Rattus norvegicus: one gene and its partners. The protein of the gene in region 1 purifies or fractionates together with the protein of each later gene. This does not show direct contact. Links are inferred from orthologs where the notes say so. Each region holds a gene or a part of one and is shown in the gene's direction. Other genes may lie near its edges.

Evidence for each region.
Region 2: the proteins of Mavs (region 1) and Sqstm1 purify together in Homo sapiens (affinity purification with western blotting; 3 studies listed by BioGRID). This does not show direct contact. The link is inferred for Rattus norvegicus from reciprocal best matches to the Homo sapiens genes MAVS and SQSTM1.
Region 3: the proteins of Mavs (region 1) and Trim21 purify together in Homo sapiens (affinity purification with western blotting; 3 studies listed by BioGRID). This does not show direct contact. The link is inferred for Rattus norvegicus from reciprocal best matches to the Homo sapiens genes MAVS and TRIM21.
Region 4: the proteins of Mavs (region 1) and Plk1 purify together in Homo sapiens (affinity purification with mass spectrometry; 3 studies listed by BioGRID and IntAct, counting the BioPlex papers as one, with this or other methods). This does not show direct contact. The link is inferred for Rattus norvegicus from reciprocal best matches to the Homo sapiens genes MAVS and PLK1.
Region 5: the proteins of Mavs (region 1) and Ikbkg purify together in Homo sapiens (affinity purification with western blotting; 4 studies listed by BioGRID and IntAct, with this or other methods). This does not show direct contact. The link is inferred for Rattus norvegicus from reciprocal best matches to the Homo sapiens genes MAVS and IKBKG.
Region 6: the proteins of Mavs (region 1) and Bag6 purify together in Homo sapiens (affinity purification with western blotting; 3 studies listed by BioGRID and IntAct, with this or other methods). This does not show direct contact. The link is inferred for Rattus norvegicus from reciprocal best matches to the Homo sapiens genes MAVS and BAG6.
Region 7: the proteins of Mavs (region 1) and Nlrx1 purify together in Homo sapiens (affinity purification with western blotting; 4 studies listed by BioGRID and IntAct, with this or other methods). This does not show direct contact. The link is inferred for Rattus norvegicus from reciprocal best matches to the Homo sapiens genes MAVS and NLRX1.

Annotation. Positions count from the first base shown.
Region 1 is NC_086021.1:138,903,596-138,907,611, forward strand, and holds the start of Mavs (mitochondrial antiviral-signaling protein), read left to right. Parts: upstream 1-1,216; 5' UTR 1,217-1,443; exon of another isoform or gene 1,444-1,942; intron 1,943-2,384; exon of another isoform or gene 2,385-2,435; intron 2,436-2,447; exon of another isoform or gene 2,448-4,016.
Region 2 is NC_086028.1:35,034,951-35,039,117, reverse strand, and holds the start of Sqstm1 (sequestosome-1), read left to right. Parts: upstream 1-1,367; 5' UTR 1,368-1,401; coding exon 1,402-1,600; intron 1,601-3,558; coding exon 3,559-3,654; intron 3,655-3,895; coding exon 3,896-4,122; intron 4,123-4,167. UniProt on the Homo sapiens protein: Molecular adapter required for selective macroautophagy (aggrephagy) by acting as a bridge between polyubiquitinated proteins and autophagosomes.
Region 3 is NC_086019.1:166,396,572-166,400,547, reverse strand, and holds the start of Trim21 (E3 ubiquitin-protein ligase TRIM21), read left to right. Parts: upstream 1-1,176; 5' UTR 1,177-1,239; intron 1,240-3,976. UniProt on the Homo sapiens protein: E3 ubiquitin-protein ligase whose activity is dependent on E2 enzymes, UBE2D1, UBE2D2, UBE2E1 and UBE2E2.
Region 4 is NC_086019.1:186,146,327-186,150,457, forward strand, and holds the start of Plk1 (serine/threonine-protein kinase PLK1), read left to right. Parts: upstream 1-1,331; 5' UTR 1,332-1,415; coding exon 1,416-1,823; intron 1,824-2,371; coding exon 2,372-2,540; intron 2,541-3,285; coding exon 3,286-3,430; intron 3,431-4,071; coding exon 4,072-4,131. UniProt on the Homo sapiens protein: Serine/threonine-protein kinase that performs several important functions throughout M phase of the cell cycle, including the regulation of centrosome maturation and spindle assembly, the removal of cohesins from chromosome arms, the inactivation of anaphase-promoting complex/cyclosome (APC/C) inhibitors, and the regulation of mitotic exit and cytokinesis.
Region 5 is NC_086039.1:157,375,885-157,379,384, forward strand, and holds part of Ikbkg (NF-kappa-B essential modulator), read left to right. Parts: intron 1-309; coding exon of another isoform or gene 310-324; coding exon 325-511; intron 512-1,479; coding exon 1,480-1,691; coding exon of another isoform or gene 1,692-1,694; intron 1,695-3,500. UniProt on the Homo sapiens protein: Regulatory subunit of the IKK core complex which phosphorylates inhibitors of NF-kappa-B thus leading to the dissociation of the inhibitor/NF-kappa-B complex and ultimately the degradation of the inhibitor.
Region 6 is NC_086038.1:3,690,530-3,694,643, reverse strand, and holds the start of Bag6 (large proline-rich protein BAG6), read left to right. Parts: upstream 1-1,314; 5' UTR 1,315-1,563; intron 1,564-1,569; exon of another isoform or gene 1,570-1,620; coding exon of another isoform or gene 1,621-1,718; intron 1,719-1,806; exon of another isoform or gene 1,807-2,096; intron 2,097-2,215; coding exon of another isoform or gene 2,216-2,228; coding exon 2,229-2,336; intron 2,337-4,114. UniProt on the Homo sapiens protein: ATP-independent molecular chaperone preventing the aggregation of misfolded and hydrophobic patches-containing proteins.
Region 7 is NC_086026.1:53,500,494-53,504,705, reverse strand, and holds the start of Nlrx1 (NLR family member X1 precursor), read left to right. Parts: upstream 1-1,412; 5' UTR 1,413-1,448; exon of another isoform or gene 1,449-1,548; intron 1,549-1,571; exon of another isoform or gene 1,572-2,115; intron 2,116-2,134; exon of another isoform or gene 2,135-2,842; intron 2,843-3,696; 5' UTR 3,697-3,748; coding exon 3,749-3,818; intron 3,819-4,212.

The DNA of each region.
Region 1 (4,016 bases):
CCTAAGACAAACACTAATAAAATCTAATCGCATTCAAAGAGTTCCGGCATCTTTGTCACACAACTAATTCTGTTTGGTGGCAGCTCAAACCTCAGTGATCTCCACTGAATCCCTTAGGCCTCTCTTTAACATGGAAATTGTAACATTAAGTATGTCATTGATGCATTTTTTTCAACTTTTTTCATGTTTTACATTTATAGGGGGAGGGGTGATAAATGCCAATGCTTTGGGGAGTTAGTTCTCCTTCCACCATGCAGATTATAGAGACCAGACTCAGATCTTTGGCTTGGCAAAAAGTGCCCTTACCTGCTGAGCCATCTCAGCAGCCCCAGTTGATAGATTTTTTTACATATGCTCAAGCTGCGTACTCACCACCTACATTGAGTTATAAAACATTTCTACCATCTGGGCATGCTAGGGTAACTGATACTTCTTTTTAAGTACGTTAGTTTTTACTTCTTGTTGAAACAATTGACTGGAAGTAAAAAGCATGCATTCCTTTGTTTATCTCTGGTGGGCAGTGGAGGTCAGAGGTGTCGGGTTACCCTAGTGCTGGAGTTATAAGCGGTTATAACTTGGTGCATATCCCCAGATAGGTGCAGTCTTTTTGTTGCATCCTGTTCCTATCAGCCCAGCTGGTGTCACCTGGTTAGGCACCCACACCCCTGTGACATTTTGCGTGACATCCCTTGTTTACGGAGTACTGGAGACATAAGAGTGGATCACACGAAGACTCTCTCTCCTTCAGTATTTGGCTATCAGAGCTGCTTTGCTTGAAGAACATGGGACGGAATTTAAGAACATTAGTTTTCTTGGCTTCTGGACTTCCCTGGAAAGTGTTCTAGATCAAGCAGGAAGAAACAATCTCCTTTATGCACCTGCAGGAAATCAGAAGAGCCCCAGAGCAAGGCCTGCAGGGCGCTAACCTCTAGACGAGCGCTCTGGAACCTCGGGACTCATCCAATGGCCCAGAGACCGACCTGGCTCAGCTCCACCCAGGCCTTCCCAGCCAGGCAACAGCCATACTTCCGACCCCATCGCAGCGGGACTCAGTTAGGCCAATGGCCGCGCTTCCGGCCCCACCCCTCCCTCCCTCCCCACGCCTGACCAATGGCCGCGTGGCTGGCCCCGCCCCACTCCGCCCCTTCATCTGGGAGGGCTCTGCACAGTCGAACGCGGTCAACCTGTTTCCTAGTCTGGTTTCTTCTTGGTAAGTTCGCAGCCTGGGTGTGGGTCCTCAGTGCTCTGTGCTCACTGAGGTTGTTCAGGGAGGGGACCTTGGTCAGAGCCGAGTGCTCCTAGGATTTCGCAGGAGCGCCCCGGGCCTGGGCGCTCGGTGCCAGAGAAGATCCTGAACCGGATTAGGGGAGAATGCGGTCTGCCCCATACGGATTCGCGACCCCGGCAGTTCCTTGAACCGCATCCAGCACCTTTAGCAAGCAGGTAGGTGGTGCAGAGCGTTTGCCCAGGCTGGACAGAAAGAACCTCGGAGTGCCCCCTGCCTCTCCCAGGCCCTGGTGACTCGAGCGAGGCCTGGCCGCAAGCAACGACCTGTGGCAGCCGCGCCAGGGGGTAGGCCTGCCAGTCCGGGCTACGGCCTGATCCTGGATCTGGACAGTTGTAGGCAGTGACATCTGTTCAAAACAGCCTCTCTGCACTTGGAGACCTGAGTCCCGCCAGGAATCTAGCCTGAGGCCAGGAGACTTGTCTCTCGGGAGTGTGGATATTTATTTCCGTGACCGGATCAGAAGCTCTGTGGAAGTCAGGTCGGAAGTTTTGCTGTATCCAGGACGCCCCTGCCATCTCCCTTTCTCTGATATAAGAAAGAAGTTTGAGGAAAAGGATGAAAACAAGAGAAAGCAAAAAAAAAAAAAAAATGTTCTTTGGATACTGCGAAGCTTCAAAAACTTGAAGGGCATTCAGCCTCGATCTCAGAACTCAGGTGAATGTCAGTGAGGGCAGCATTAATTCCAGCTGTGTCTGAGAGACTTTTATGTCTTCAAAAAGCCTAAATGCTGCATCTTCTCAAACTTTAGTCTCATCCCCAGGCAATGACCTTGGCATAAAGATGGGTTTTGTGGCTTTTCTGCTGCAGGGACCTCTATGCTATTAGTCCGTGGCAACAAGTCGGGGGGTACAAATTCCACACTGCAGGTCAGCCGTGTAGCTTGGTATCACTTCCTCTCTTGTGATTGTGTCAAAGGATTTAAGTACAAGAACCCCAGGCTGCTTCTGTTAACAGAAAACCCTCAAGAAATGAATAAATGTGAGCTTCCTCTGCTTCTGGTGGGGTTACATGCCACTCCCCACCCCTAATCTGCATTCAGTATTGTGGTTGGACTGCAGAAAATCACTAATTTGACTCCCTCGTCATATTTTTCTAGGTGACCTGGGAAAGGAGGAGGAAGGGTTTCACTTGGCTGGCCTCTACAGAGGTATCATTTTTCATCCCCTGAAGGCCCAACAGACCTCAATCTTATCTCCCTTTATCTCCTGACCTTCTATCCGTAGCTCTTCATAAGCATGTAGCATTTGTTAGTTAGCTGTGCTAGAGTTAACATGGGCTGAGGTCACTAGGCAGAACCGGTACCTAATCTGTGTGGCAGGGGCCTGCACCTGCAGCAACCGTAGATATTCTCTGCACTGTTTCCCAGAGGCCTATACTCCCCTTCCTTCTTCTCTCCTGAACAATACTCTTGGAACCCAACAACTTGTTAAACTTGTCAAAGTGGAGCTCTTTCCATGGCTTCTCACTGCCTTCCCTAGTGTTGTAAATGGCACCTTCCTTGCCCCACCTCCCAAGAAGAAGCAATGTTTGATCCCCACCCACCTCCCATGTCCGAAGAGCACCAGGAATGTAGCTGCTCATCCCCACCTCTGTTGCCATCCTGGCCACACCCACCCACCATCCTCCTCTCAGTTGGCTGGGACTTTTCACCCTTTTTCATCCTGGGCTTCCTGAAGACTTTAGAACCTCCAGAGAGTTCTGCAGTGCAAATCGGAGCCCTGGCTCGTCAGTGATTTCCCTGTTCCACACCAAGTAAAACCCAAATTCCTTCCCACAACACCTTATGTGCTAGTGGCCTCTTTGACCTTGACCTTTGTCCCACCCCTCAGCTTTAAACCACTCACTTAGTTTCTCTTCATTCCAAATGCCATCAGGTCTTAGGACTTGGGCATCTGCTTTGCCATCTGCCCAAGATGCCAGTCTTTTCACAGTGGAAAATCATTCAGTCAGGCGTTACCAATCAGGGGCCTTTCCTTGATCACCTCCGTTTAAGCAAGGAATTTCCTCCTGGATTCTGTCCCATTGTCTCCTTTTACTTTCTTCATAATCAGAATTACTCTCTGGACTTGTCATCTGATTATGCACTAATGGATCTGGTACCTGTACCACACCAATAGTAGATAAATTGGATGTGGCATATCTTGTCTTTCTTCTCGCTGATGTGGAGAACAACTGAGAGACAAGTGAGCAAAACACGTGAGTGCAGATGGTGGTGCTTCATACGTAATGCTTGCTTTTAAGGCACTTTGCTGTGTTTAAATGGTGGGATGGCTCAGTGGGTGAAAGTGCGAGCCTTATGACCGAGTTCCATCCCTGGAACCCATGGTGGAAGGAGAGAACCAAATCACAAAAGTCGTCCTCCGATTTCATGTGTGTGCTGTGACATGTGTGTGCACACATTCACACACCCATCATATACATACAATAATAAGTGAGTAAAAATATGGAAGTGGCATATTTTTAAAAAATTTAGGCTTAGAGGATCTGGAAAGAAGGCTTAGTGGGAAGGAGCACGGCTTGCTTTTCCAGAGGACCCAAGTGTGAGTTCCAGTACCCACGGGACAGCTCACAACCATCTGTGAGTGCCCTCTGCTGGCCTCTGTGCACAGACATACATGTAGGCAAAACATTTGAGTACATAAAAATAGATAATAAACCTTGGGCCTGGAGAGATGGGTCAGTGGCAAGAGTACTGACTGCTTTTCCACAGGACCTGGGTTTGATTCCT
Region 2 (4,167 bases), on another chromosome or scaffold:
TTGCCACAGAAAGCAGCATTTCCTGGTTTTGGCCTTCGTGCTGAGGGTTGAACCTAAGATGTGACATATACCAGGCAGGTACTCTGTCACTGAGCACCAAATCCTTATGCACCAAATCCCCATTAGTGGTGTCCCCCTGGGTATATCCATGCTAAGCTAAATCCTCATGAACTGTGTCCCTACTAAGCTAAAATCCCCCTGGGTATATCCATGCTAAGCTAAATTCCCATGACCTGTATCCCTACTAAGCTAAATCTCCCTGAGTATATCCATGCTAAGCTAAATCCCCATGAGTTGTATCCTAACTAAACTGCATAGACAGCCTCTTTATTTTGCCCCCCCCCCCCCTTTTTTTGAGAGGCTTCTTGTAGCCAAGGCTGGCTTTGAACTCCGGAACCTCTGGCCTCCCAAGTACTCAGATCACTTTCTAGTTTGAAACAGCTTCACCAAGCTGCTCAGGCAGACCCTGAACTTGGTATTCTCTTGCCTCAGCATCTCAAACAGCTGGGATAACAAGTCTGTGTCACAGGACTGGCTAAAGCCTGTATTTTAGTTCCTAGTTGGAGGGCAAGTGGTCTGATTCCTTTGTGCTCTTTGAAGCCACTAAGGCCTGAGATACATGCTCCTTCCCCTCCGCCCTTAGAGCCTGTGTGCTGTGGTGTGTGTGTGTGTGTGTGTGTGTGTGTGTGTGTGTGTATTATGTGGGTTGTTGTGAGGAATCTCAGTCTTAGTAGTGGTGACTATTGCAGTTTCTGGAGCCCTGGCTACCCCTCCTACAGGGTGGGTTTGTGAGAAGTCACCAGTGCTAGTCCAACATCCAGTCTTTGTCAAATTGGATCAGGCCTAACATATGGATGATGTCCCTTTATTCAGTGAGGGGCTGGTCATGGTGGATGCCTGAAGAGAGAGTAGGGTGGAGGGCTACTACGGGGGACACTAAGTTTGGGAGGGTTGGAACAGTATCCCGTGAAACAGCTTGTTTGGCCAAGGAATGGCTACCTGACAGTAGGCATCTGTGTCGTCTGAGCCTCTGTGCTGGGGCATCCATCCCCCTTGGCTTGGGGACTACACTGCTGAGTCATAAGCAGGCCCAAACCTGGGAGGAGCCTAGGCTCGGATACTTACCGGCCCTTTTCCCATCGAACTGAGACTGAGGCTGGTCTCTTGGGGTCACCCATGCATTCGGAGGGAAAGAAAAAGAGGAGGCGGTGGGGGCGTCTCGCCCCCATACCTGTCAGGGGTCCTATCAAGGGCCCTCGAGCGGCCGCCCGGACAGCGGGGAGGGGCGGAGCTCAGAGAGGTTCCGCCCCCCACGAGGCGGGGCTCCCCCCGTATCCTATAAAAGCTGGGCTCTCGGAGCCGCCGCTGCCCAGCTGTTTCCTCCGTACCTAGTCTGCGGTTATGGCTTCGCTCACGGTGAAGGCCTATCTACTGGGCAAGGAGGAGGCGGCCCGCGAGATCCGCCGCTTCAGCTTCTGCTTCAGCCCGGAGCCGGAGGCGGAAGCCGCGGCTGGCCCGGGGCCCTGCGAGAGGCTGCTGAGCCGGGTGGCTGTGCTGTTCCCCGCGCTGCGGCCTGGAGGCTTTCAGGCGCACTACCGCGGTAAGGGCTCGGGGCGGGGAAGCCATCCTCCCCCGCCGCGGAGTATCAGGTCTGGGCGAGGACGCGATGGCGTGTCCTCTGGCTGCCCGCGGGGACAGGGTGGTCAGGCGGCCGCTCAGGTTACAGCTGACATCCCGCGGTTCGCTTGCTCCTCGTATCATCAGGTGATGGGTTCAGTTAAAGGCCCGGAAGAGCTGGGACCGGGCAGATGTGGAGGAGGGGTGGAGAGCAGTGACGCGGGTAAATAAGCGGCGGGGGCGGGGTGGGGCAGCCCGTGGGAAGGGAGGTAGGGGACCCCGGAACTAGCTCCGTCTCTTGCGTTGCAGTGGTTGATGGCTGCATGGGGTGGAGCTAGAAGTTGTTGACAAGAGACTAGTGGACAAGGCCCTCCCCCTGGGAGGGGATAAGATTGAGATCTCTTTATGGAGGACTGTGGGTAGGCCAGGTTGGTTGATCAGTCTGTCTCTTTTCTGAGATAAAGCCACGTAGCCTGATTCGCCTTGAATTTACGAGTGGTTTAGGCTGGCCTCACTTCAATCCTCTTGTCTCAGCTTTCCAGTGCAGGAATCATAGGGATTATTCTGGACAAAAAATGTTCAGTGTAAGTGAGTTTTAACCTAGGTCCAGTACAATTCACCCAGGTCTTAATGTCCTTCCGAGTCATCTTTGTGCTAGGGCCTCATGTATGTTAGGCTCTCGACTGACTGAGCTACCACCCCGCCCCCCAAACTCCTTGCATTTTTTAAAAAGTGAGTTATATAACTATTATCACATTCGGTTTAGAATCTTTTTTTTTTTTATAAATTTTACGTGTGTGTGTGTATAGCCTAGCCTGATACACACACACACACACACACACACACACACATATATGTATATATATATATATATCCTAGCCTGCAGATGTGTGGTTTGTCCTGTATGAGGTGGTTGAAGACTGTTTGTACTGACATAGAAATATATGGCTGCGCTCCCAGTACCTGTGTGCTAATGTAAAAATGAAAGCAGATGGGTTTGAGAAATGACTCAGTGGTTAAAGCCTTTGCTGCTCTTCCAGAGGACCCAAGTTCTGTTCCTAGCGCTCATATCAACTGCAGCTCCTGGGGATCCCACACCCTCTTATGGCCTTCGTGGCACATGCATACACATAAGTGTGCATGTGTGTATGTGTGTGTGTGTGTCTGTGTGTTCAAGTGCGTACATACATATGTAAAAGTAAATATCAAAAGGCAAAAAAGAAAAAAAACCCAAAAAAACCCAAACCACTTGGCAGCTTGGTTGCATATGTTTGTGATCCCAGCACTAAGGAGGCTCACCTACACAAGTTGGAGGCTGTCCTGTTCTAAGCAGTCTCAGGCCAGGCAGGGCGCAGAAAACCTAGAATTGACAAAAACAAAACCAACAGAGCAACCTCAACCTCAGAACAACTTAGACAGCGTCTGAATGCACAGTGGTTTCTGGTCACGTAGTTGAAGGGAGGGGACAGATGGGCTTACCTCCTTTCCTTCTGAAGCCTGAGGCCTTTGAAGGGCTGGACCATCAGGACAGGGTACTGGCTGGAATCTCCCAGGTGAAAATGGACCTGGCCTACTTACGTGTGGCCTGAGGGCACAAATGGCCCAGTGGTTTGTGGCAGGAAGCTGGACCCTTACACACATGACATATGCTCTGCCTTGTGCATGTACCGGATCTAGGACTTGGGTTAGAACATGTACTCACGCCATATCAGAATGAGTGGCCATCTGGCTGCTTGCTCCAGCACTCAGATTGCGTCTAGAGCCTCTGTAGATGTCCCTTACCATTGGGCTCCCTGTACATAGCAGTGGGCATCCAGCAGATGCTGGGTACCTGTGCTGCCCTTTCGGCTTCTAGTTCTGGGAATGGCACCTAAGTCTTCTGCACGCTCCACCAATGAGCTGTGTCCCTGGCTCTGATATGTTGTTTCCTAAACAATCTAGATGAGGATGGGGACTTGGTCGCCTTCTCCAGTGATGAGGAACTGACAATGGCCATGTCCTATGTGAAAGATGACATCTTCCGCATCTACATTAAAGGTAAAGACTGCATCCAGGTACTTCCCATCGGACTTCCTCTAAGGCTCAGGGGTCTGAGTTGTCTCTAGGACAGAGATGAGTTCTGATGCCTTGGGGTGGATATAGGGGGGTTGGGAGGTGTCAGAGGTACAAAGGTCCTGCTGTGTGGGCCATGGGTGTTGAACAGAGCAGGGCTTGGTACCTCTTGGCCTCCTAAGTGGTTTACCTGCAACTAAATTGGACTCTTGGACTCTCCCTGCAGAGAAGAAGGAGTGCCGGCGGGAACATCGCCCCCCATGTGCTCAGGAGGCACGAAGCATGGTGCACCCCAACGTGATTTGTGATGGTTGCAATGGGCCTGTGGTGGGAACTCGCTATAAGTGCAGTGTGTGCCCCGACTACGACCTGTGCAGCGTCTGCGAGGGGAAGGGCCTGCACAGGGAGCACAGCAAGCTCATCTTTCCCAACCCCTTTGGCCACCTCTCTGATGTGAGCTGGTTCTCTGCAGTCCTGGGGCGGTGTCGGACAGGGTGG
Region 3 (3,976 bases), on another chromosome or scaffold:
TTCGCCCAGGGGAAGGAGGGTTGAGATATCAAAGTACTAGCTGAGAGTGAAGGAGATTTTGTTCTTCAGGAGTTTGGGTCTTCAGATAATTACCAAGGTGGGAGCTGAGGCAGCTATGAGTATATTACATTGGTCATCCTGTGTGCACATTATAGAGTATTTATCACCACAACCCTAGGGTGTGTATTAATCTCTCTATCCAGTGTGTAAACTGAAACAGATAAGGCGTCATCTAGTGGTAAATAGAAAAATAGACATTGACTCTACCACTACCTTATTTTGGGACCCAAGTTCTTTGCCTGCAGGAAATAGCGACAGATCTTCAGTGGTGTGAAGCAGAATCATTTTCTGATGTTTGCAGATGCCTTTGTCCTTTCAGATGCTTGACTCTGTTTTTCATTCTGCTTCCTGGAGCTGTTGTGTTCCTGGAATCAAGTCCCAATACAACAGCACAATCTAGACAGTAGATGTCGCCTGGTGACCTTTTACTGAGAAGGATCTCTTAAACAGGGCTGGAAATTTCAAAGCACGGAATGCTTTTATTTCCTAAATATGATAAATGGCAAGGAAAATTCACCTGATGGTTTTAGCGCAAATTATAATACAATCAATGTCCACAAGTCTCCCTTCATTGCTACAACACATACCCTAACATCATTAGGAATAAATTTCTCACCCTAGACTATTTGAAAAGAGGGGAGCAAAACGAGAAGACAGAGGGATGGGAAATGGGCATATGTCAAGCATACTGTGCAATTAATATATGTTAACAAAAACAGTGCCAGGATCTTTCACCCGGATTTTAAAGAACTATCAGTCTTGTGGGAAGATCCCTCTAGAAAAGATAGTAACTCCTCTCCCATCCAGACCTCTTCTCCCAGATGCTCCCAGGTTTGAAGTAAAGACCAGTGTCAAAGGTCGATATCCTGTAGATTACAGTCTGTTAAAGGTGACAAGGAGGCCTTAGAGAGACTGCACCCAAGAAGACATTAACTGAGTTTTCCTTTGCCTGTGGCCTGAAGTCAGTTTCTGGCACCTCTGACCACTCTCCTCCCACTCTCTGCCCAGTCTCCGCCCTATCTGCCTCCAAGGCTTGCCAGTCAACTCCCTGTTCCTCCCCTTGCTCCTCCCTCTTCCTTCTAAGCTTACCTCTGAGAGGAAACTGAAAGTGAAATTAGACTGCGGGCTTGCAAAAGTGAAGCTGAAAACAGCCTAGCCAAGTCTGAGGACCCTGGTAAGGTGAGTGAGGATGGGACCCCTGGCCAGACTAGATGGGCTCCCCCCACCCCACCCCAATGCCACAGATTCAAGGAGCCGCTTCCCACTAGCGCCCTACACACGGAATTTCCTAGCCCACCTGCTGCTTCTCTTCAGCGGAGTTCTCTAGTCCCAACCCTGCCAGGCTGCCCGTGCTTCCCTGTGAAAGCTGGTCTCTGAAATTGACTTTCCTAGTGCCATGAGCAGGAGAAGCAGGGCGGTGACCTAGTCCGGGAGGGAGAGGGGAGGGGGGAACTCGGGGAAACCCCAGCCCCTTGAAGACCCTCGATTGAGGAGAGTGCTAGCCACTTAGAAATTTCAGTGGGTTTAAGATACTCAGCACCCTAAAGGAAGTTGAGAGAAGTACTAGGCTTGGAGGAGCTTAGAGAAGAGCCCAGGGAGTGCTCCCCACAAATGTCAATAGATGAGCATACATACATATTCTGTACATAGACATTTAGATAGAGGAACGTATGGGCATGCCTACATTGATGCATTTGTGCTCAAGTGTAGCTTACAATGGAACATATCAGGGTAAATAAAGACATCAATTTGTGTGTGTGTGTGTGTGTGTGTGTGTGTGTGTGTGTGTGTCTGACACACACACACACACACACAAGCCTAATAACTGGGAAATATACTCTTAGATGATGTACTCAGGATAATGAATGCACATCTTGAAGTTTTTTTATTGGATTTTTTTTTATTTTTATTTCAAATGTTATCTCTTTCCTGTTTTCTCTTCCATAAACCCCCTATTCCACCTCCCCTCCCCCTTCTTCTATGATGGTGTTCCCCCGCCCACCCCTTACCACCCGCCTGCCCAGACATTTCCTACACTGTGATGTCAATTCTTGGCAGGACCAAGGGCTTCCCCTCCCATTGGTGCCCCAAAAGGCCATCCTCTGCTACTTATGCAGCTAGAGCAATGGGTCTGTCCATGTGTACTCTTTGGGTGGTGGTTTAGTCCCTGGGAGCTCTGGTTGGTTGATATTGTTCTTCCTATGGGGTTGCAAGCCCCTTCAGCTCCTTCCATCCTTTCTCTAACTCCTCCAAAGGGGACCCCACTCTCAGTTCAATGGTTGGCTGTGAGCATCTGCCTCTGTATTTGTCATGCTCTGGCAGAGCCTCTCAGGAGACAGCTATTTCAGGTTCCTGTCAGCATGCACTTCTTGGCATCAGCAATATTGTCTAGGGTTGGTAGCTGTATGTATATATGGTCTGGATGCCCAGGTGGGGCAGTCTCTGGATGGCCTTTCCTTCAGTCTCTGCTCCAAACTTTGTCTATATATTTCCTCCTATTAATATTTGTGTTCCTTCTTCTAAGAAGGACTGAAGCATCTGCACTTTGGTCGTCCTTCTTGAGCTTAATGTGATCTGTGGATTGTATCTTAGGTAACCCAAGGTTTGGGCTAATATCCACTTATCAATGACTGCATACCATGTATGTTTTTACTGATTGACTTACCTCATTCAGGATGATATTTTCTAGTCCAATCTATTTGCCTATGAATTTCATGAAGTCATTGTTTTTGATAGCTGAGTAGTATTCCATTGTGTAGATGTACCACATTTTCTGTATCCATTCCTCTGTTGAAGGGCATCTGGGTTCTTTCCAGCTTCAGGCTGTTATAAATAAGGCCGCTATGAACATAATGAAGCATGTGTCCTTGTTATATGTTGAAAAATCTTTTGGGTGTATACCCAGGAGTGGTATAGCTGGGTCCTCAGGTAGTACTATGACAGTTTTCTGAGGAACCTCCAGACTGATTTCCAAAATGGTTGTAATAGCTTGAAATCTCACCAACAATGGAAGAGTGTTCCTCTTTCTCCACATCCTCGCCAGCATCTATTGTCACCTGAGTTTTTGATCTTAGCCATTCTGACTGGTGTGAGATGTAATCTCAGGGTTGTTTTGATTTGCATTTCCCTGATGACTAAGGATGTTGAACATTTCTTTAGGTGCTTCTCAGCCATTTGGTATTCCTCAGTTGAGAATTCTTTGTTTAGCTCTGAACCCCATTTTTGATAGGGTTATGTGGTTCGCTAGAGTCTCACTACTTGAGTTCTTTGTATATATTGAATATTAGCCCTCTATCAGATGTAGGATTGGTAAAGATCTTTCCCAATCTGTTGGTTGCCATTTTGTCCTAATGACAGTGTCCTTTGCCTTACAGAAGCTTTGCAGTTTTATGAGGTCGCATTTGTTGATTCTTGATCTTAGAGCATAAGCCATTGGTGTTTTGTTCAGGAAATTTTTTCCAGTGCCCATGTGTTCGAGACTCTTCCCCACTTTTTCTTCTCTTAGTTTGCGTGCATCTTATTTTATGTGGAGGTTCCTGGTTCACTTGGACTTGAGCTTTGTACAGGGCAATAAGAGTGGATCAATTTGTGTTCTTCTACATGAGGACCTCCAGTTGAACCAGCATCATTTGCTGAAAATGCTATCTTTTTTCCATTGGATGGTTTTGGTTCCTTTGTCAAAAATCAAGTGCCCATAGGTGTGTGGGTTCATTTCTGGGTCTTCAATTCTATTCCACTGGTCTATCTGTCTGTCTCTGTACCAATACCATATACTTTTTATCACCATTGCTCTGTAATACTGCTTGAGGTCAGGGATGGTGATTCCCCCTGAAGTCCTTTTATTGTTGAGGATAGTTTTTGCTATCCTGGGTCTTTTGTTATTCCAAATGAATTTGCAAATTGTTCTGTCTAACTC
Region 4 (4,131 bases), on another chromosome or scaffold:
TGCCAGACACTGAGCTGGCAGACTTGGTGGTGCCCTAGTCTTTCACATGGGAAGTGAATCTATATAACAGGGATGCTACATTCTGCCCCATCTCCATCCCAAGCTGTTGCTACTGGCTACCTGTTTATGGTAATAGCACTTCTGGCTGGGACTAAAGGTGTGTGCCCACACCTGGGAAGTTTAAGTTTTTGGAGACAAAGCTTGGGCTTATTCAGAAAGCATTTAGTACAATCGTTTGCAAGGCACTGGGAAAGACAGCAGCACTGCCGTTTTTGCTCAATCCAGCAATAGGATCTTGCTAAGACCCTCCTGGGGAACTAGAGGAACACAGCTTCTAACGGAAGGTATCACTAAAGTGCCCACAGAAACCAGCAGGCAAGTGGGCAAAGAAGATGTCTGGGAATAGTGGCCAGAGTTGACTTTTTTTTTTTTTTCCAGGAAAAGCCACACACCTGCTCTGTGTGGCCACTCTTTTTACATGTTGTAAATCCATTTATTTTCTAAATGAAGGCCGAACTGAACACTTCTGCAGGGCCGACTTGGGTCTAACCACCACCCCCACCTCTGACTAAAAGTTGTCTCTATTTGGGGCTTTGGGCCACACAGCTGAGGACAAGCTTGTATCCCAGGGCGGACGTCTGGTGTTTCTTACATGTCATCTGAATCATCTGAAAGTCTTGTTTGACTGGCAGGTCATGCCTGGAAAGTTTCTTTCCTTTGGGGTTAGCGGAGAGGTAGCTGAAGCTGACCTAGGCTAATCTGTAGTCTTGAACCCACGCCTCTCCTTTGCCTTCCTCGGTAATTCCCAGGTGCTGCAGATGCTACTGGCCCCTGGGTTGTTCAGACGAAGGCTTGAGCTACATTTCAGGGGCTGAGAGCTACTGCCACAGAGGCTGCCGGTCGGTTGCGCTGTGAAGGTGCATCTGCCTGCTAGTCGTGCCAGTGGTGGCGGTGCACTCCCAAGCTACCTCTTGACCTGGAGTTTCAGTTCTAGAAGGCCAGGTCGGGCGGAGGAAGGTGTTAGATCTTAATAGTTAGGAGAAGCCTCTGGAGGAGGCGCAGGTGAACCACATGAGCACGCCCCGGCCGAGGAGCAGAAAGCAGGACCGAATCCTGTTCTCCTAGGGATCTCTACCTAGTTCATTCGTTCCTGGTTTCCCAGGCAATCTAGAGTGCACTCTATCCTCCAGTACAAATTTCTCGCCCGCAAGATCGGGGTTTAAAGGCGGCTGCGCCGTAGAGCACTCCCATGGTGCCGCGCGCTGGGCGGGTTTGTATTTTAAATCCCCGCGGCCAATCAGCAACGCGCAGGCCCTTGTAACGTTCCCAGCGCTGCGTTTGAATTCGGGGAGGAGCGGAGCAGAGCAGGATCCTCTGCACCTACCCGGCCAGGTCCGTGGAGCAACATCGGCATCATGAATGCAGCGGCCAAAGCTGGAAAGCTGGCTCGAGCACCAGCCGACCTAGGGAAAGGTGGGGTCCCGGGAGACGCAGCTCCCGGTGCCCCAGGGGCCGCCCCGCTGGCGAAAGAGATTCCGGAGGTCCTGATGGATCCACGCAGCCGGCGGCAGTATGTACGGGGCCGCTTTCTGGGTAAAGGAGGCTTCGCCAAATGCTTCGAAATCTCAGACTCAGACACAAAAGAGGTGTTCGCAGGCAAGATCGTGCCTAAGTCTTTGCTGCTCAAGCCCCATCAGAAGGAGAAAATGTCTATGGAGATCTCCATTCACCGCAGCCTCGCACACCAGCACGTCGTAGGCTTCCATGGCTTTTTTGAGGACAGCGACTTTGTGTTCGTGGTTTTGGAGCTCTGTCGCAGGAGGGTAAGTGTTTCTGGGGCTCCTACACCTGGAACTTGCTGGCAAAGTGGCACCGAGGTTTTGGAGTGGCCTAGAGGAGTGTTTGGGTTTTATTTAAGCTGTTATGGAAAGGCTTCTAGCGACGGTACTTGGCACTCCGGATCCTGTTGCTATTAGTGAAGGGGCTCCTAGACGCAAGGCTGTGAGTGGGTACAGGAAATGGATGCGTAAATTGGCTAAGGAAGGGTTCCAGGCTTGAGGTGCCGAGGATCTCGAACTTCCGGAGTGAGGCAAGGTCGGGGGAGGGGGCGGCTGTTTGGAGTCAGACCTTAGAGCTTTCAGGAAAGGGAGGGGATCTCCTGCCAGGAGGAAGCCCTGGGATAGGGGATCGAGAGTGGGGTTGAGAGAAGACTCTGTATAAGGGCACTAGTTAAGAGGGTCCGGTGAATGATAGTGACGAGTTTATGGGCAGAGCTATCAGAAACCTGCCAAAACTCTCCACTCCGAGCGCCTAGTTGGCCATATTAAGCTGGCCACCCTACTTGGGCCTCAGTGACCTCTTTCCTCCTCAGTCTCTCCTGGAGCTGCACAAAAGGAGGAAGGCGCTGACCGAGCCCGAGGCCCGATACTACCTGCGGCAGATAGTCCTGGGTTGCCAGTACCTGCACCGCAATCAAGTCATTCACAGGGACCTCAAACTGGGCAACCTCTTTCTGAATGAGGATCTGGAGGTGAAAATAGGTGAGGTGCTGGGCCTGCGGGTGCCTGTGCCAGCCAGCACAAGAGTCGGGAAGGAGGGGAAGGCTGGGAGGAGGGAAAGAGAAGTGCTGCCCTCTGGAAAGGAAATGGAGGGGGGTGTTGCCTTTTTTAGATACATTGCTGTGCCTCAACTCAGTAGTTTTGAACTTGGGGTGCCTCCCCAAATACTCTTTATCCCCTAGCATTGAGCCAGACCCTCAGCCAATTTCTTTTTTAAACAGGAGATGGGGGACATAAGCTATAGGGCATGGCAGGCGGTATCTCCTCAGCTGTCCCCTTGAGTCTGACTTGCCAGTCCCTAGATCCCTGTCACTTCTTCACACACTTGCTCAGCAGCAATCACGAGATCACTTACTTGATTCTCCAGTGCATTTAACTTTATTTATATGAGGGATGGAGACAGGTTAACTTCAAGGAGTCCGTTCTCTCTTCCACTGTGTGGGTTCCAGGATCCTGACTCAGGTCATCATCAGCCTTGGCGGCAAGCCCCTTTACCTCCTGAGCCATGTTACCTAACCTTAACCCTGCTATCTAAAGAGGGGTTAAAGGGCAGTGGGAGGCCAGCTAGGGCCAGTACAGTGTGTGTGTGTGGGGGGGGGGGGGTGTTCCGGGACTATGGGGGTCTCAAGCCACTAAGTTGTCAATGCTCAGGCTTGAAACAGCTGTTTGCAACCTTAGACAGCTGATCTAAGTAGCTGAGCACCCTCTCTTCTTCCCTCTGTCCCAGGGGATTTTGGCCTGGCAACAAAAGTGGAATATGAAGGGGAACGGAAGAAGACCCTGTGTGGCACTCCTAACTACATAGCTCCCGAGGTGCTGAGCAAGAAGGGACACAGCTTTGAGGTGGACGTGTGGTCCATTGGGTGCATCATGTAAGTTGGCAATGAACTTGGGCTTCTGGGCCTCAGCAGGAGTCTCTGGGGCATCTCACCCAGTTGACCTTACCAAGTGGATCTTTCTACCTTACAGAAAGGCTGTTTTAGAGGACAGGCTGCCCCACATGAAACCCTGGTTTTCATGTCAGTCTGGCATAGGCTGTGGGGATCCCTGTAACTTGGACTTGTTTAAAAGCAGTCATAGACCAAAATCATCAACACCTGAGAGCTTGTTAGGAATTCAGAATCTGAGATCTGAACCTGGGTTTAATACAATCCCTGCCTGATTTTCCATGAAAATCAGGAAGCCCTGCTGAGTGCTGATGGGAGAGTTAGGCCAGCAGATAGTCTGGTGGTAAGCAGAACCCCCACCATGGTGGCCTCTGGAACCCTTGGAGAGTCCTCTGTCACTGCAGGCCAGAGCCAGGCAATCCCTGACACCTCGGAATCCAGGTGTTTTCACTTGCATTCTTCCTAGTGCTTGCCCAGCCTTTGGTTGCTGGGCAGACTTGGAGAGCATCCCATCCTTTCCCAGTCAGTGAATCCAGCACAGCTTCCCCAACTCTGGTCCCAAGACAATGACTTCTACATTTGGATTTTCCTTGGAGTTTGAACAGAATTCCTCCTTGTATCCCCAGGTATACCTTGCTGGTGGGCAAGCCACCTTTTGAGACCTCATGCCTAAAAGAGACCTACCT
Region 5 (3,500 bases), on another chromosome or scaffold:
TAGGACATGGATATATCAATCATTCTACTATACTGGGTGATGGGCCAGGACCCTTTGCTTCTACTTGAAGGTATGTGGAGGAGGTAGGATTCCCAGTATACTTCCCTTTCCCTCCACAATTCTCTTTGCAATGGTAATATTTGCTGTGTCATAGATCCAAACTTCACTTTTGTATCTGGTTTCATCAGACAAAATGTCCAGCTTTTTGCTGTGAATGGAAGTCTAGGGCTTCTGTATACATTGAACCCCTTGTGCTGATTGAGAGAACTCTGTTCTTTGTCATGTACTCCTACTGCCTTTTTCTTCTAGACACTGTCTTGTTGGATGAGCAGGCACCTCTGGAAGAATCAGTTGAGTGAGATGGTGCAACCCAGTGGTGGCCCAGCAGAGGACCAGGACATGCTGGGTGAAGAATCTTCTCTGGGGAAGCCAGCAATGCTACATCTTCCTTCAGAGCAGGGTACTCCTGAGACCCTCCAGCGCTGTCTGGAAGAGAATCAAGAACTCCGAGGTAAAGGTTGCAGTGTGAGGGAGGCATGAAGTTAAAAGTTAGGAGGGACCTGGCATACTTATGTAAGGACAAAGCTTATTGTCACCTGCATCTCATAATTGGCAGGGTATGAAGTCATGATGTGCCCAAGAACCAGCCAGCATTTCAAACTTCGCTACTTTGCTTCATTTCAAGTAGGGTTTTCTGTGAAGAGTCACATACAGAAAATAATGTGGTTCAAAGCCAGCACAAGGGAAGGGAGAAGGGAAGGGGAAGGAGGGTAAGCTAAAAAGCCATGGTAGGTAGGGGAAAAGTGGGATATGGGGGTCAATGGGAATAGGTTTATTCTTGGGACATAGCAAGCTTTTAGATAGGAGGGGATATATTTTTCTTCAGAGAGAGAGGGTTTTTTCCTAAGATGAAATGTGGCCTGCTCTTGGAAAGGTGTGGCCAGCTCCAGTAAGAGATCTTTGAGTATGTCTTCTGCACTGGCATTGCCTTCTTGCTCATGTTCACATTCATTTTTAAGGTGATGTTTACTGTTCTTGAATATGCAGCTGAAGAGAATGAAACTCATAGAACTATTAGCTTGTTCTGTCTGTATCTTCTGGGCTCCCAGGTTGCAGCCAGAAAGTACACAGTGAAATTTGCTTTGGGGACTGTTTCATTACCTCCCCAAGTGTTTCAGGCATGTTTAGGACTCCCTGATTCTGAAGACAGAGATGCAGGCCCAGGAGGACTGGGACTGAGTGCTCCAGGGTAGGGATACCTCCAATTGACCAGAATATAAATGAGGCACTTAAAGTTGATTTTGGTGAATCCCTTTAAGCGAAGGATCTGTGTTTAAGTAATACACTGTAGACACTTGGGGGGTATATCATCAGTGGAATTGGCTAGGAATTGGTTTGACTTCTTAGAGAAAGGCCACTTGGTATTATAGGGTTACCTGGCTGTTAGGACTCCTGTTTTGCTGTCTTCCCTATCCCTAGATGCTATCCGGCAGAGCAATCAGATGCTGAGGGAACGCTGTGAGGAGCTGCTGCATTTCCAGGTCAGCCAGCGGGAGGAGAAGGAGTTCCTCATGTGCAAATTCCAGGAAGCCAGGAAGCTGGTGGAGAGACTGAGCTTGGAGAAGCTTGACCTGCGGAGGCAGAGAGAACAGGCCTTAGAGGATTTGGAGCATCTGAAGAAATGCCAACAGGTAGCTAGTGGATGGGCAGGCCCTTCTGCCCCACCTGTGTTTGAAGACCATATCGACACTCATATGCCCATAGGAAGTATGTTGTTGGAGGTGCCTCAGGACCTTTTCAGGCTTGATTGCTGGGAGCCCTCTTAAAACCAAGAGAATCCATCACACTCACTGTTAGTTTATTACAGTGAAAGGGTCCACATCAAAATTATCCGAGGTACAATGCATATGTTGTAGGAGCCAGGAGGGGCCAGATGTGAGCTTCTCAGGGAGCAGTGCTTTTGCTATGAATGGTGGGGCACTGTGCACAGAGTACTATCAACCAGGAAACATTCCTAAGCCCTGGAAGCCAGGATTTATCTTGGATTCACTTTTAAAGGTACGGAGTGCTTGGGTACCTAACCTAGCTTGCTCAGGTTCTAGCCACCCTGAAGTCTAACAGGGACTATACCATGTAGTCCAAGGCCCTCACATACCCTGCCAGCAGCTCAGACATCCTGGTTGAGCCGTAGGCCCAGGATAAAACAAGGCAGTCACATCAGATAGGATTTCTCAGGGGCTCAGAGATGATCCCCACCAGTCTTTGGAGGAATTATGAGACCCCAGGCCTGTGAATTGGCCCTGTATTACACAATCACCAAAGGATAGTATGCCTAGTGTGGAATGAGGTGGTATTTCAAGGCCTTTTGGACTGGTTGGTTTCAGGACCCTGGTGACAATAGTTGAGCAGGGATTGTGCCATCTGAGAGGACTAGTCTAGGGGAAAGGGTAGAGTAGTCCCTAGTTTTGGAGGTCAGAGGTCTAAGATGAAGGTATGGGCAGGTAGGTTCCTCACAGGGATATTTCAGGTACTTCTCCATAACTCTCTTGTCACATAGCCTTTTCTCTTCAAAATTTTTTATTATATTTTATTTTGTGTAGTATGTATGTCTGAGCTTGCACTCACACGTGTGGATGTGGGTATTGTCATGGGGTGCCAATTTAGGTGACAGGACAGCTTGCAGGAGTCAGTTCCCTCATTCTACTATGAGTGCCAGGGATTGGACTCAGGTTGTTCTTAGGCTTTACCCATTGACCTTCTGAATTTTCTCACAGTCCTCCTGTCTTTTCATAAGGATACCAATGTGAAACAGGAAGGTAGACAGGTATTAGAGCCATGAGAATAGATTTTATTCAGTAACTGGTAACGAAAGGGAAAGAGCTAGCTAAGCTCTGATGATCTGCAGAGGTGACTGGGTCTTTTACCTTTTTTTTTTATTTTTGGTTCTTTTTTTCAGAGCTGGGGACCGAACCCAGGGCCTTGCGCTTCCTAGGCAAGCGCTCTACCACTGAGCTAAATCCCCAACCTTTACCTTTTTTTAAGATTTATTTTTATTTATGTGTTGGGTGTCTGTGTCTGTGTATAAGTGCCCTTGAAGGTCAGATGAGAGTCTCAGATTGTCTCTAACTGGAATTCCTGGTAACTATAAGGTACCAGACAATTGTGGTGGTAGGAACTGAACTCTGGTCTTATAAAAAGTAACAAATACTCCCGATCACTGAACAGTCTCTCTACTTAATGACTGTGAATTTTAAAATGAGAATAGTGGCCAGAGTGTGTATGCTTTGCATGTGTGAGGCCTAGAGTTTAGTTTTCAGGGCTTCAAAAAAATAAAGACAGAGATGCCGATAGAAAGAAAATAAAAGATTAGGCTAGGGGAAGGAACTCAAGTGAATTCCAAAGGGTATTAGTATTAATGTGATGAGACCAGTGTGTTTATAACCTTATACAAATCAAATGTAGGTTTTTACCATAAAGACTGGGAGTCTGAGTCCTTTCTG
Region 6 (4,114 bases), on another chromosome or scaffold:
ATTTATTAATTTATTTTATGTGTATGAGTACACTGTAGCTATCTTCAGACACACCAGAAGAGGGCATCAGATCCTATTACAGATGGTTGTGAGCCACCATATGGTTGCTGGGATTTGAACTCAGGACCTCTGGGAGAGCACTCAGTGCTCTTAACCGCTGAGCCATCTCTCCAGCCCCTGAAATCTTTATAATAAAATACTAAATGTGTGTCTAGGGAAGTGTTCCAGCAGTGATGGTGCTTGGCGGATGGCAAGCCAAGCTAGAGGACCTGACTTTGATCCCCAGGTCCCCGCAGTGAAAGAGCACATTTTCCCTCAGATCTCCACACCTGCGCTGTGCTGTGACAGACGAAGGCCATACAGCCACCCCCCAGAAAAGCATTTTAAAAAATATTTAAGTTCTTTTATCCCAGCAGGTGGATCTCTGTGAGTTACAGGACATCCAGATCTACATAGTGAAATCCTGTCTCGGAGGAAAAAAAAACCTCAAAACGTAAATACAGTCTAGTAGAGTGACACACGACCCTGCCCTGGGTGGTGGTGTGGGGTACATTGTCTTTATGGGTTCCGGGCAATTCAGAGTTAACACTGAAACAGCATATAAAAGTCTCAATATACAATGCTTACTGGAACTCTCATCAGTATTGGCATCTAAGAATAAGTGGGGAAGAATGTAGAGAAACAACCGTCCCACCCTGTTCAACTAACTCCCTCGGTGGCTGGCCTTCCAATCTCCTTTCTCAAAAGTCTTGTCCTTGTCTTTCAATCCGATCCCTAAGGCACCCGTTTTTTTTTCTTTCGTTTCTTTAAAAAAGCTCCTAAAAAGCAGTATGCTTAGTTATCCTTAAATATGGCACTCCCATAGTGCTCTCAATCAAAGACCAATAGGACGGCCAAAGTCTGCAAAACGTCCAACTACCCTAATCCCGCCAGGAACTAAACTTGAGCACAAGCAAATACAGCCCGCGGAACGCCCAAGCCGTCCACGGAAAAGAGTGGCTTCCGGAAGAGCAGGAATGACGGGAGGACCAGAGGTCTTGCAGAGGTTTGGGTAGTTAGAATTGTGCCTGTAAATTTCTATGTCCGTCAAGATAGGAACGTTGATTAACGAGGTGCAATACGCAGAAATCCCAGACTCTTTTCCCCAGGAAGGTGCAGCATTCCACCCAGTAATTTTTCTTCAGGCGTTTACAGTAGACACCCCGGTCGGGTAGCACAACGGCGCGAGCAGGGAAGAAACGCACACAGCCGGAGGGGGGGGGCGGGGAAATACTTAAAGTGTGCGCACGCGTACGCGGTTCACGCAGGCGCAGTGCGGTCCCCCGGGCGACGGCGGCGGCGGCGGCTCCTCCGGGTGGTCGGCTCCCTCCCATCTAGGCCGGCCCCGGCCCGTCTCGCCCCCCAGAAACTCACTGCTCGGGGCTGTGGACTTTCTCATCGTGCCCCACGAAAGTAAATCGGGGGAGACTGGGGGAGCCGGAAGTACCGCCTCGAGATCCCCAAATACTATCGGGGAAACGGAAGTGGCCCTTGGTGCCAGGTTGGGGGAGACCGGAAGTGACGGTACCGTGGGGAAGTCGGGGGCGGAGCCACAGGGTGGTGGGCTGTGTATGTGTTTGTATGTGTTTGGCCGCGTGTTGGTTAAGTCGTGTTGCTGGAATACCGACGAAAGACGGAGGCGGAAGGAGGGGGCGGTCAGCGAGCCCATCCAGCCTCCCGTGAGTGTCGGTGGTCTTGGGTCTGTGGTGATTTAGGCGGGTTCGATTGTGGTGGCGCGCGTGCGCGAAGCTACTTTCTCTGCCGAGTCTAGCGCGACCCTCCCCCCCCCCCTCGCGTTGTCCTAGGATTTCCCGATCTCTCGGGCGCTTGCTCGGTCGCGACCGGTGATGACACTGGTCTCTGATCGGTCTCGTGCTTGCTTCCCCGATTCCTAGCCCAACTGGCTCTCCCTATTGTGATTGGCATTGTAGAGCCCCTCCCACCTCTCGTCCTTCATCTCCCTATGCCGTCGATCTCATACCCTTTGTGTTTCTATTCCTGTGCCCCCGAATCAAAAAGGGGGGATGAGGAGGAGGAGGATGAATATATGTGCTTGTGTATGTGAAACTTTCAAGGGATTGGGGCGGAGATTGGGTCCAGAGAGGCTTCCGGGTGTATAAAATACAGCGCGACCGACAGCGAACCATCCCCCCCCCCCTTCCTCGTTCTTCCTTAGAGAGCTGTCGGCCATGGAGCCGAGTGATAGTACCAGTACCGCTATGGAGGAGCCTGACAGCCTGGAGGTACTGGTGAAGACCCTGGACTCTCAGACTCGGACTTTTATTGTGGGGGCCCAGGTGAGACACCAGTACTTTGTAGAGATGACACCCCTTTTGCTCGTTTGTTTTGTGAAGGATGAGCCTGATTTTCTTGTCATTGACCCTTTTGTCCCTTACTCTGTAGGACATCTGACGTTCCTATTGAGCTGGGAGGTGTGGTTACCGTTGAGTGAGGCAGATTTTGTTTAGCCTGTCCTCACCTTGACAGAACTCAGAAGTGGGAGGTACAGAGGAGAACTCTATACCTATTCTGTGCAGACCTCCAGCCCAAAGGGACAGGCATGGCTCTGGCCTTTGGGACCAGACACAACACAGGGGGACCTCAGACCAGTATGGTGTGTCTGTTCTTTTTTATAGGTTACAGAAACCTGCTTCCATACACGGTGAAGTAGAATCGCCAATAGTTGAGGCATAATTTGAGTCTTGAGCTAAGTTCAGTGTGGCCACGTTTATCTTTTGTTTTTCCTGCATAATTCTTTGAGACACCATCATGCGCAGGTCATTTTCGTGGTTTTCTAAAGCAGATATTTAAAAAGCCACGTAGATTTTGTGAGTAGATATGTGTGATAGTTAATTCTGCCTGTTACCAAGGGTTGATGTGTCTTTCTGGGAGGTGGGGACACATAGCGGGGCTGCCTTTGCCTCTGACCATTTCGCCTTTACTGTCTATGTGCTTGGATTATACACACTGTGATAGAGGATTATGGGATTGTAGATTACCACATCTGCCTTGGCTTCGTCTTTTTTTTTTTTTTTTTTTTTTTTTTTTTTTGTAAAGTAGGGTCTTACATAGTTAAATGTCTTAGAACATTTATTTGTGTGTGGGTGTGTGGGTGTGTGGTTCTACTGGGCCTTGAACCTTGGGCTTAGCATAGAGTACTTACTACTGAATTGTATAGAACCATGTGTTCTTTTCTGACCTTCTTCATTAGTTACCTTTCCAGAACCTGGTTCCAAACCCCTGTATTACTTACCATTGGTGGTGATGGTTCTTTTGGGATGTGTGTATTTTCAATTCCTTTAAAAAATCTTATTTGTTTTTATTTTATATGTGAATGGAAATATTTGTATTGGTATTTGCAATACAGATTATAATAATTTGTATTGCAATATGTTTGTCTGGAAATATATATGTGTGCCTTGTGTGCACTTGATGCCTAAGAAAGTCAGAAGAACATATCAAATCCTGCAACCTGTGGCCTTCTCCTCATGTGGAAGTTAGGAAATTGTAGTCCCTATTGTGTTATGGATGACTGTAAACTACTTATGTGGGTGCTAGGAATTGAGCTCTGGTCCTGTTCAAGAGAAGAGCAACCCTGAGCTATGTCTCTAGCCCATCATTTTGTGTTTTAAGTCAGGGTTTTATTCTGTAGTCATGGCTAGCCTCACAGTCAGATCCATCTGCCTCTGCTTCCTTGAGATTAGAGGCTTTCTGCTACAGTGCCTATCTGCATTTAGCCTTGAGATTACAGCCATGAACTCCTGCTATTGTTTTAATTTAGAAAAGGACCACGACTATCTCTAGATAGTGAGCCACAGAGGAGAAAGGGAGAGAGAGCTATTTGGCTTCTTGTTTATAAGATTTAGTTTTATTTATTTACTGTTGTTGCTATTTTTTTTTTTAAATAAATTTAAGACAGTCTCTCTACATCGCCTTGGCTATTGTAGAACTCACTATGTAAACCAGGCTGGCCTCAAACTGACAAGAGACTCACATGCCTCTGCCTCTCAGAGGCCTACACCACCGTGTCCCACTTACTTGTAATTGTGTGTTGGTGTGGGGGATGTGTACCTCT
Region 7 (4,212 bases), on another chromosome or scaffold:
CCTCTGCCTTCTTGTTCTGGGATTAAAGGCATGTGCCAACTCCTCCCAGACTCTTTTGTTTTTAATAGTAAAAAACAAAATTATGTGTATGGGTGTTTTCTTGCGTGTTTATTTGTACACCATATACACACAGGGCCTGAAGAGGCCAAGAGAGGGCATCAGATCCACCGAGAATGGAGTTAAAGCTAGTTGTGAGCTGTTGTGTAAATGCTGGGAATGGAACCCAGGTCCTCTGGAAGAGCAGCCAGTGCTCTTAACTGCTGAGCCATCTCTCCAATCTTAGAACATCTCTTAAAATGTAAATATGCCCTTTTCCATGCTGCCCAGTATGCCCTTCTGACTTCTTAACAGCCAGTTCAAATGTCACTGTCTCTGCTAGAAGCAGGTAGTAATTTTCCTAATAGTTTGCCTCAGCCCCTGAAGAAATTCATTGTCAGCATGGTGGGTCCCTGCATGACTGACTCTGTTTGGCAGCCCAGGGTGAGTGTTCAGTACTGGTCTAACACCACACATGAACGAATGGATAATCGCCTAGATGAAATTATGACCATTCTTTCCTGTTCCAACGGAGGGTAGACCACAAAAACCTCTTCTCAGCGCTGTCCTGAGGAGCCTGTCTCTTGAGTTCTCTATTTCATATCTGTTCTCTGCACATTGCACACCCATGTTTGCATGTGGAGGCGTTCCTTGGCTGAAGGTTACTCTGCCAGCTTGGTTACAAGGAACCTTGGGTGTTCCTTGAATGAAGGGGATGAGGGTTGGGGTTTTTAGAACCCCGAAGTCCCAAGACTAAACCATGATGGGATGTCAGACAGGAAGAACAGGTTGGAGAAGGAAGTGTCTACTAGGACCCATTTTTCTTTCCTGGCAAAGTGATCGAGGCACCCCCTAGAGTCTTGGAACTGAATGACACAGAAGAGCTCTGTCTTCTGCCTGTAGGTGAGCTACGGGTGTGACAAGGAAGGAAGGTCAGGATGCCCTGTGGATGAGAAAAGCCTAGAAAAGCTTTTGTTCTGACTTATCTACTTCCAACAGGGAAGGCCTGCGCGAGTCATTTACTCTTCCGCGCTTCCTTGTCTTCATCTGTAAAATGGGCTTTATCAACAAGTCCAGACTTGGAGGTGCATATGAGGTCATAGACTGGGCCTGACGCTTGGGAACCTGCAGGGGGCAGTACGGGAACTTGGGCCCTAGGAGGACCCGGTGGGGCCGGAGTCTCCGCCCGGCGCCAGCACCCACGATCCTCTTTCTGCAGGTCTCCGCTCAGTGCGCTCCGGCGTCCAGGCTGGGCGGGGTGCCAGAGTGGGCCGGACTGCGCGCTTGCTGACGGGCGGAGGCGGCTTAGACGCGCGCTGCCGAACGAGCCAGGGAAGCTGGGAGCCAGCGGGAGACGCCTGCTTCCTTTCCTCCGGGCCGCGGCGACAGGCACCAGGGCCTAGGCAGCCTGGGTAAAGGCCTAACTGGGTCGATCGCTTCTCTGCTCGCCCTGGCTGGACGGCTGCGCTGGGCCCCGGAAGCAAGGGCCGGACAGCTGGGTCGCGGGAGTGGGCAAGTGGCATTGGGAGTTCTGCTGGAGCTTGGGCGCTGAATACGGGCCTACTGACAGCTTCACTTTGCTCCCCGAAGCCAAGTGGAAGTGGGAAAGCTGTATGGGACCCAGTCTGGTGGGGGAGCTCCGCACCTTCTTCTTGGATCCTTTCTTTTGATTAGTGCCATGACAACTGCTTGATTAGCGAATTATCCTAGACCCTGCGGGTCTTATCAGCGAACTTGGAGCTGATTTATGTCAATCCTGCGATTTGCCAGGTTTTCTTGACCTTTCTCCGGCCCCCAGGACTCCTGTTTCCAGCCCACTCAACACCTCTGCCAGCTCCAGGCTCTGGCTAGCTATGCTAAAGCAGGTTCCTCAGTGCAGCCTCTTCCCAAGTTTGCCCTCCCTTCAGCCCCAGCGTCAGTGAGGGAGGCCACGCCAGCATAGGGGCACGTCCATGTCAAAGAGCTCAGGGAGCCAGAAGAGACTCCTTGGGAAAGAGTACCTTGAGCAGTATCTTCGAAGAGTGCCTGAGATTCTGATAAAGGAGATGCTAACCAAAGTATAGGGGCTAAGTTAGGAAGGTGAGAGAGAGCAAGGATCCAGTAGCAGTCCTGGAGCATGAGGCGTGGGCTGGGGGGCAAACCTGGAAAAATAGCTTGTGTGGGCCTGGGTTTCATGGCCGTCAGTAGCTTAGGAGTTCAGGGAGCTGATTTCTGCATGGAATGAGGGAGGGGAATAGGCCCACCGTGGGGGCGCAGAGGACTTGAGGAAATGGGGTTTTTGTAGGGTCTGGAAGGATCTCTTAGTTCTGAGATGATGAAAGAGGCTGTAGGGAGAGATCATCAGGACTGCCACCACTGCCTCTAGGGGAAGGATTTGGATAAAGAGCCAGGGAATAGCGTGTGAATCCAGGGCTTGGGGGAGCTCATCTGCAAAGTGACCAGGGGGTGGAGTGGGCTGAAGTGTAAGGCAGAGGTGGCAGAGCATCCTTGTGTCAAGCAGGAAATTCATTCACTCAGGCATCCATCTATTACTTGTGCCAGTCTTATATACAAGTCAGAGAGACAGCAAAGTGATACAACCATTAGAACTCCGCTAAGAGGATCTGATGGCTGTGTCGCAAAGGCAGAAGGAAATGAGTAAGGATGAGTGGGGGAAAAACCCAGGCTCAGAGAAGGCCCGCCAGTCAGCACAGGGCTCCTCTCTGAGCTTGCTAGCAGTCGAGCAGAAATAAAATCTAAAAGCAGATGATTGGGCTGGAACTCAGGGCTGAGGCAGCTGTGAAACCTCCGTGCCAGGCAGGAGCTGGTAGGAGATGAAACAGAATCACTCGGGTTAGGATTATCCTTGCTGAGGATAGCTAGAGGTCAGGCCAGGGCTTCAAAGGCTTCTTTTATACATATGAGGAAGGGCTAAGCCTCCCTTGGGAGATGGCCCCTTCTTAGATACTAGGGGTAAGGATGGGAGAGAGAGAGAGAGAGAGAGAGAGAGAGAGAGAGAGAGAGAGAGAGAGGTGTGCATGTGTCTGTGTATGTGTGTGAGAAAGAGATGTGTGTATGTGTTTGTATGTGTGTATGTTTGTGTGTATGTGTGTGTGTGCTCATGTCTGCCGTGTGTATATGTGTGTGTCTATATATGTGCGTGTGTCTGTGTATGTATGTGTGTATATGTGTGTATGTGTGTGTATATGTGTGTGTCTGTCTGTGTGTGTGCCTGTGTGTATATGTGTGTATGTGTGTGTATGTGTGTGTCTGTATGAGTATGTGTGTGTGTGTATATGTGTGTCTGTCTGTATGTGTATGTGTCTGTGTGTGTGTGTGTCTGTCTGTATGTGTATGTGTCTGTGTGTCTGTCTGTATGTGTATGTGTGTGTGTGTTTTTGTGTGTGTGTGTGTGTGTGTGTGTGATGCATCCATACCTTCACAGCACTTTTTTTTAAATTTACCTTATTGTTGTTTTGCTTGTTCTTAAGTTTTTCTCTTACATATTTATTTATTTGTTTATGGTGGGTGTGGGTTTGGGTGCAATGGTCCAAAGACAACTTTTGGGAGCAGTTTTACCCTGTAGGTTCCTGGAATTTAATTCAGGTCCTCAGGCTTGGTAGCAGGAGTGTTTACTCCTTGAACCATTTGCCAATCCCATTCACACTTCTCTTTTTGCAGGGCAACAGGAGAGAACGTGGTTCTGAGTGTTTCAGGCTCCAGTTTTCCGAGGATGAGGTGGGGCTGCCATTTGCCCAGGACCTCTTGGGGCTCTGGCCTGGGAAGAACAGTCCCGCTCCCAGGTAAGCAGGAAGTTGAGATTTCTCTTCTGACCTCCTTTCTGCTTCAGGGTCCAGATGCTTCTCAAACATCAGGGATCCAGATGCGCCGGGCACAACAGTTCCAGCTGTGTAGTACCATAGCTGGTGTCCTTCCACATGTCACCTCACCTTCATCTTAGACAAGGGGAGCCAAGCTGGGCCCCTTCTACTGTTTTAATCTAATTCTTATCCAAGACGTTAGCTGCACATTGGCTCTGTACCAGACTGTGGGTTAGGTTTTGGTATATAATTGTGAACAAAACCAGATGTGAGCCCTGCTCTCATGGAGGGGGAAATGGATGATAATCAAATAATCATATGGCTAAATAGAAGATTATGTAATAATTACTATTTAGGATAGCACATGCTACTATAA